Linked DNA regions of Oryctolagus cuniculus. The protein of the gene in region 1 interacts with the protein of each later gene in a pairwise test. Links are inferred from orthologs where the notes say so. Each region holds a gene or a part of one and is shown in the gene's direction. Other genes may lie near its edges.

The links. The genes of interacting proteins can lie anywhere in the genome.
Region 2: the proteins of REL (region 1) and TSTD2 interact in binary tests that used the Homo sapiens proteins (3 or more experiments, as listed by UniProt). The two-hybrid records come from large-scale screens. The link is inferred for Oryctolagus cuniculus from reciprocal best matches to the Homo sapiens genes REL and TSTD2.

What each region holds. Positions count from the first base shown.
Region 1 is NC_091433.1:141,807,257-141,810,766, reverse strand, and holds part of REL (proto-oncogene c-Rel), read left to right. Parts: intron 1-45; coding exon 46-194; intron 195-3,510. UniProt on the Homo sapiens protein: Proto-oncogene that may play a role in differentiation and lymphopoiesis.
Region 2 is NC_091432.1:201,428,550-201,432,851, reverse strand, and holds the start of TSTD2 (thiosulfate sulfurtransferase/rhodanese-like domain-containing protein 2), read left to right. Parts: upstream 1-1,492; 5' UTR 1,493-1,632; intron 1,633-4,302. Other genes in the region: NCBP1 (nuclear cap-binding protein subunit 1), read right to left, coding at 1,010-1,043.

The sequences.
Region 1 (3,510 bases):
ATGACATATATTAATAGATTATATGTATCTTCCCCCCTTTTTCAGATTATCAACTATTATGGAAAAGGAAAAGTGAGAATTACATTAGTTACAAAAAATGACCCATATAAGCCACATCCTCATGATTTAGTTGGAAAAGACTGCAGAGATGGTTACTATGAAGCAGAATTTGGACAAGAACGTAGACCTTTGTTGTAAGTACAGTCACAGACATCTTCATGAATACAATGAACATAGCATGCTTTATTTCCTATTCATGATCATCTGTTGTTAGCAGACTAAAGTAATCCTTCATTCTACTTCTGATTTCTATAGTGTACAATAAAATTTTCTTAGCATTTGTATTAGAGCTACCCTTCTATATTTCATTAGTAGGTACAGTTCATAATCGTTAGCAGGGATCCTATATAAAACTATTTAAACATTTTTTTTTGTTTATTAATTTGAGAGGCAGAGAGACAGAATAGACAGAATCCTCCCATCTACTGGTTCATTCCCCAATGTCCTTAACAGCCAAGGTTGGCCAGTTCGAAGCTGGGATTTGGGATCTCAGTCCAGGTTTCTTACTTGGGTGGCTTGAGTCATCACTTACTGCTTTCAAGAGTGTGCATTACCAGGAACCTGGAATCAGGAGCAGAGCTAGGACTCAAACCCAGGCACTCCAATATGGGATACAGGCATCTTAACCAGCAACTTAACTGCTATGTTAAATACTCGCCCCTAAAATGTAAAGTGACCTAATGCTGTGATTTTTCTTTCTTCATTTGAAAATTTTATGAAACAAATTTTTACTCTGTCTTTTCATTTGTAGTTAACTTAAAAATTGCTAAATATAAGCAAACTAACTGGAAAACTCTAGAATTTTTATTTAGAATATTTAGAATATTATGAAACTAACATGAAACAATACTAAGATTAAAAAAAAAATACGTAACTCTATATTGGTGAGACTGCCAAAAGATGGGCCTGTTTGTCAAGTGTAAAAAAATATGTCTAGGGGCTGACACTCTGGCATAGTAGGTTAAGCCTCTGCCTGCAGCTCCAGCATCAAATATGAGCACTGGTTCAAGTCCTGGTTGCTCCACTTCCGATCCAGTTCCCTGCTAGTGCGCCTGGGAAAGCAGCAGAGGATGGCCCAAGTCCTTGGGCCCCTGCACCCACGTGGGAGACCCGGAAGAAGTTCCCAACTTCAGATTGGCTCAGCTCCAACCGTTGCAGCCATTTGGGGAGTGAACCCAGCGTGGAAGACTTCTCTCCTTCTCTCCCACTGTCTCTCCCATTCTGTAACTCTGCCTTTCAAGTAAATAAATAAATCTTTTAAAAAAATTTTCTAGTAGGAAATTTTTAAAAAATACTTAGTTGAAAGGCAGAGTCAAAGAGAGGGAGAGACAGTGATAATCATTTTTCTATTTGTCATATTGACATTTGATTATAAATAAGAACTTTTCTTGCCCTTTATTTAAAAAGTTTCATGGATTCTTATATCCATTGTTTTATAGTCCATTACTGGCATCAAACCGATCCATATTTGACCAGTGCAAGCCTTTACAACTGTCTTCTGTGTCCTTTTGGAATGTTCTCATTTTTTTCTGAGCACTTCTTTGTGACATAACCAAGTGTTCAGATTTGTACTTATCTTGGCCTCAGACCTAAAGTCATCAATTTTTGCCAAGGAGTTCCTTCAGTGGAGAATGGTATTGAAAAAGCATTTCAAAGAGAATATACCCCAAACCATAATCTTACTGTGATCATGCTTCTTTCCACCTCAAAAGTGGTCATCTTCCAATGTCCTATGTTAGTGGTTGCTATAAAAGCCTTACACATGAATGTCATCCCTTACATCTCACATAGGTATACACATTGAATCACTAACAGGTATCTTCTGAATAGCTCTTGAATCTTATCCATTCCATTTATTTTTTTGACAGGCAGAGTTAGACAGTGAGAAAGAGAGAGACAGAGAGAGAGTTATAGACAGAGAGAAAGGTCTTCCTTCTATTGGTTCACTCCCCTAATGGCCGCCATGGCTAGTGCTGCACTGATCCGAAGCCAGGAGCCAGGTGCTTCCTCCTGGTCTCCCATGCGGGTGCAGGGCTCAAGCACTTGGGCCATCCTCCACTGCCTTCCCAGGCCACAGCAGAGAGCTGGACTGGAAGAGGAGCAACCGGGACAGAATCCGGCGTCCCAACCGGGACTAGAACCCTGGTTGCCAGCGCAACAGCCAGAGGATTAGCCTAGTGAGCCATGGTGCAGGCCCTATCCATTCCATTTAATGAAATCCATCACCACCATCCTACTACAAAAGTCTAAATTTGGGCTTCAGGAATATCTTCCTGACTGGTCTTGTATTAGCTCTAACTGTACTTTTCCCCCTCAGTCTTCCTCCGCTTTAGCCAGAATTATCTTTTTTTTTTTTTTTTTTTTTTAAAGATGTATTTATTTATTTGAAAGGCAAAGATAAAGACAGGGAGAGAGGTTCACTTCTAAACTGATGGCAATCGTCGGAGCTGGGCTAGGCCAAAGCCAACAGCTTATGTAGGTTTCTCAGGTGTGTGACAGGATCCCAAGTACTTGGGACATCTTCCATTGGTTTCCTAGGCATATTAGCAGGGAACTGGATAGGCAGTGAAGCAGCCAAGACTTGAACTTGTGCTGATAGGGGATGCTGGCATTGCAGATGGTGACTTAACCTGCTGTGCTACAATGCCAGCTCCCAAAATGATCTTTTAAGATACATGTTATTCCCTGGGGTAGGCATTGTGTCAAAGTGAGTTAATTTACTGTTGGGAATTCCTGCATCTCATATTGGAGTGCCTGCTTGAGTCCCAGCTATTCTACACTTTAGATCCAGCTTTTTACTAATGCGCCTGGGAGGTAGCAAATCATGGTCCAAGTACTTGGGTTCCGGCTACCCTCATGGGAAACTGATGGAGTTTCTGGCTCCCAGCCCTGGCTGTTGTGGGCTGTTAGGGAGTGAACCAGTAGACTGAGCTCTTTCTCTCTCTCTGTCTTACTCTTCTCTCTTTCAATTAAATAAATAAATCTTAATGGGATAAATAAAGGGGCCGGCACCGTGGTGTAGCGGGTAAAGCCGCCGCTTGCAGTGTTGGCAACCCATATGGGCACCGGTTGGAGTTCCGGCTGCTCCACTTCTGATCTAGCTCTCTGCTGTATCCTGGGAAAGCAGTAGAAGATGGCCAAATCCTTGGGCCCCTGTACCCTTGTGGGAGACCCGGAGGAAGCTCCTGGCTTCAGGTGTAGCTCCAGCCATTGTGGCCAGTTGGGGAGTGAACCAGCAGATGGAAGACCTCTCTCTGCCTCTCCTCCTCCTCTCTCTCTCTGTAACTCTGACTTTCAAATAAATATTTTTAAAAAAAGAATAAATAAAAAAATATAGTCTACCCCTGCCTCCATTTAAAACATTTTAATGGTTTTATGTGGCTCTTGGAATAAGGATAACAATTTATTTTGGCTGTGTTCCAGTAAAACTTTATTTGCAAAAACAGGGTA
Region 2 (4,302 bases), on another chromosome or scaffold:
GCACTCCAGGAGACAAATACGTTAGTGGAGACGCTGCATTCGACTTGGCTTTCCTTCCGTATTTATTACATCTTAGGCATTAACAGATGATGGAATTAACGAGCATCCCCTTGAACCTCTGGTTGTGTGTGCCATCTCCCTCAACCCTCCCAAGAACCAGCACCACCGCTGTCCTATCCCAGGCTAAGCTTCTGGAAGGTGACACGACCTGAGCAAGCCCACGAAATGGAGGGCCGGGTCTGCTCTGAACCTAAACCCTCGGGTCCCCGATCCTGAAGCCCAACCGCTAGGATACTCCGTCCTCCAGGAAGAACGCACTGAAAACAGCAACACCAGAATCGCTCGAGTTTCACCCGTGTGTGTTCCGGACGGACCGTCACGCTCGCGTCTAACCCACACATCTTTTCCTGTTGGCAGTAGCAAGACCATTTCGTTTGCATGATGGCAACAGCGTGGTCTCCCTGAGCACAAGCCGTCGGGAAAGGACGCGGGCACCCGGGCCTGAGAGCTCTCCAGCTAGGACTCTAATCGTCTACCCAACGCAGCACCACGTGTCCCTGTGGGTGTGCGGGAGCCCGAGTTCTTTTCCTACCCCTTCACAGGGAGGGCGGACGGGGCAGGGGGTGCGGAACGCAATTCACAACACGCCTTTGTTCCTTTCCTTGCGCCAAGTCCTCCGAGAGCTCAGCCCAGGCGCAGCTTTGCGGGCTGAAGCCAAACCCCAGGACCCCTGGGGCTCTGTCAAGGATCCCTGCAGGCGGCGCAGGTCTAAACTTTTTACAGCCCCTGGAGAGCAGACGCCTCTGCCCACGGGGATCGCCCGGGCTCCCTTCCTCACGACAAAGGGAACGGGGAGCAAGGGCGGAAGGGGCGCGTTCGCTTTCCAGAAGCCGGCCGGCTGCCCCGCGCGGCGCCTCCCTCCTTGGCTCCCCCAAACGCTGCCGGGGAAGGCGGGATTCCCGTCCCTCCCCTCGAGACCCGGGACGCTAAACCTCGCGGGCGCACTCACCGTCGTTCTCGTCGCTGTGCCGCCGCCGCGACATGCCGCCGGCCAGTGAGCCCTGAGCCGAGACGCCGGGCGGGAAGCGCCGCACGAACCGTCGGGCCGCCGGCCGGCGCGAGAACAGCGGCGAGGCGCGCGGACCGGCCGGCGCGCAGGCGCACTCGCTCTAGACGGCTCCCGGAAGCGCACGGAGGCGAGGCCGCCGGGTGGACCCCGCGGAGCCGGCGTCCAGAGCCTCTCGGGCGTTTGGTTGGCGCGCAACCGCCCCCTCGAGCCTCCTCCGCCTGCCAGGTGCTTCCTTCTCCCGCCTTCCGCTTTGGGTCCTTCCGGGCCAAGCAGAAAAAGCCGCCGCGTCAGCCAGCCAGAGCCCGGCGGCCGCGGGCCAGACTCGGAGGCGTGGTGGTTGAAGGAGGCCGCTCTAGCAGCCACCCGCGGGAGGCCTCTCAGTGGTTTTCCCGGCGGCCCTTGCGCTCACGGCCGCGAAGACTTCCGGAGCGGGGTGACGTCCCGAGAGGCCTTTCCTACGCACCACGCGGCGGGGTCTGTAGGGTCGAGGGCGGTGCGTGGTGACCTTTGCCCGGCGGAGGCACCGGGTGGAGAAGGAGCTAAGAAAGGAGCAGGACCGGCGGGTACGTGCTCCGCTCCCTCTCCCTGCCACTGCCCGGCTTTTGTGGCCTCGGGGAAGGTGGGCGGGAGGAGGGGCCGGGCGGCGTGCGAGGCGGTGCCGCACGAGCGGGGCCCGGGGACGGGAGGGCGGGCCCTGACGCGGGCCTGCGGGGCTCTGTGTGCGCCGGCCGTCCTCTTACCTCTCCCCTCTGTGAGTTGTCTGAGGAGGAGCGGATGAGGGCCCTGTGGTCGCGCTCTCGATGGTTATTGGATACATCTTTACGTGCACACTGTACGAACGTCTCTGCTGCCTTGGCCGTGGCCATCTGAGATTTCACCCCCCCGGGCTTCACCGGTTCCGCCCTCAGCCTGTAAATGGCACCGTCCGGGGAGCGTGCCAGCTCTACTTTGAAAGAGAATCCAGAATCAGACCTTGTGACGCCTTTGTTTAAACTCCAGTGACTTTCCATTGCAAACCTTCTGTCGTGGTTTGTACAGTTCTGCCCTCATCCACTGTTCTAACTGCTCCTTCCAGTAAATCAAGCCCTTTAACATTTTAGAATCTGTTTCCTCTCCCTGGAAGTCTCCGCTCCTCAGTCTGCAGTTCGGGCTCCTCTGGGCTGAGGTCCCAGCTCAGGCATCAGGTCCTTTGTGCGACCTCCCCTCGTTACCTAACTGCTGTTTTATTTTGTTCTAGAAGTATTGGTAAACATCTAATACCTTCTCTGTGCCAGACACTGAATTAAAAAAAAAAAAAAGATTTATTTACTGAGATCGGTACTGTGGCATAGTGGGTAAAGCTGCCGCCTGCAGTGCTGGCATCCCACATGGACGCCAGTTGGAGTCCCGGTTGCTCCTCTTCCAATCCAGCTCCCTGCTAATGGCCTGGGAACGCAGCACAGGATGGCTCAAGTGCTTAGGCCCCTGCACTCATGTGGGAGACCCGGAAGAAGCTCCTGACCCCTGGCTCCAGCCTGGCCCAACCCTGGCCATTGTGGCCATTTGGGGGAGTGAATCAGAGGATGGAAGATATCTCTCTCTCTCTCTCTCTGACTCTGCCTTTCAAATAAATAAATCTTTAAAAATAAATAAAAGTAAGAGTTTTGTTTTGCACAGCTGCATTAGAAATTGCAGTTAGCCAAATTGTTGACTGTGTGAATTTGTAGTTCAGGAGAGGGGCTGGGGTTGTAGATAAAATGTGGCGTATGTATTATTCTACACATACATGTTCCTTTATTTCTGTTCATTTCCCCTTTTTTCAATGAAGTTTCAAGTGCTCACAGAAACAGGGAAAATTACGTAATGAGCCCCATGCCCTCATCCCTGGCTCCAGTAATTGCCAACTATGGTTAATCTGGTTTCAGCTGTATTACTTGCCTTCCGCCGTTATTTTGAAGCAAATATAGTTTCTTAAGACCTTGCTTATGGGATGAGACCACCTAGGGAGTGGGTGTGGATAGAGCAGTTCAGCATGTAGAGACAGGACGATGAGGATGCAGCAAAGGGAGGAGAGGCGGTGGCTCTCATCGCTGTCTCATGCTAAGTTTGCTAGCTTAGTTAGTGTCTTCTGCTACTGGAATACAGGAGTTCCACAAGAACAGGGGCTTGGACGTTTCATTCAGAGCTGCATTGCCCATACCTTTTTGGGTGCCATTCTCAGAGCAGACACTCGCCAAAGAAATAGTTCAGGATACATAAAGAATAAAGTATCGTGAGGCCAAAGGCAGGTTTAGAGCGAGGGGCGAGGTTTTGGGGTGGTGGGAAAGGCATGTGTAAAGAACATGGCTTGTTTGTGGAACTGGACGCAATGTGGTGTGGCGAGGGTAGAGTGCACGCTGGGACACTTCGACCTGAGTCTAGGCTGACAGGAACCCAGTGTTTCAGGTCTTCAGAAGGGAGAGTGGCAGCAGCATGGCAGAGAAGACTTGGTGGAAGAGGTGACAGTGGTGGGCATGGTGAGCCTTTGGGGAGGGGAGGGGGTGGAAGAAAGTGGGTAACAAAGCAGCAAAGAGAGAAGCTTTGGCCAGTGTTCTGGGGAGGCGGCTTGGGCATGAGGCGTGACTGCAGGAAGAGGAGCCCTATGTGCAGCCACTCCTCCGGCTGTGCTCCCTCCCAGTGTACTGCCTCTGAAGGCACACTGTGCCTCGAGCAGTGCCTGGCACGTGGAAGGCCCCCACTCGGTCACTGTGGGATGGATTTTAATTGGAAGGTGATGTAAGCATTTTCTCTACAGTAAAACAGCTGCGGGCACAGGAGGGTGTGGGTCTGTTTTCCTTGTGCCTGTAAGGCCTGGAGCCTCAGAGTTAGAGACCTGCTCCTTTCGTTTGAACTTTGAATGAAATACATTTAAGAGGCTGGCACCATGGCTCACTTGGCTAATTCTCCTTCTGTGGCGCCGGCATCCTGGGTTCTAGTCCCGGTTGGGGCTCTGGATTCTGTCCCAGCTGCTCCTCTTCCAGGCCAGCTCTCTGCTGTGGCCCGGGAAGTCAGTGGAGGATGGCCCAAGTGCTTGGGCCCTGCACCCACATGGGAGACTGGGAGGGAGCACCTGGCTCCTGGCTTCGGATCAGCACAGTGCCGGCCGTAGCAGCCATTTAGGGGGTGAACCAATGGAAGGAAGACCTTTCTCTCTGTCTCTCTTTCTAACTCTGCCTGTCAAAAAAAAAAAAAGACATTTAAGAAAGAAATGAGGG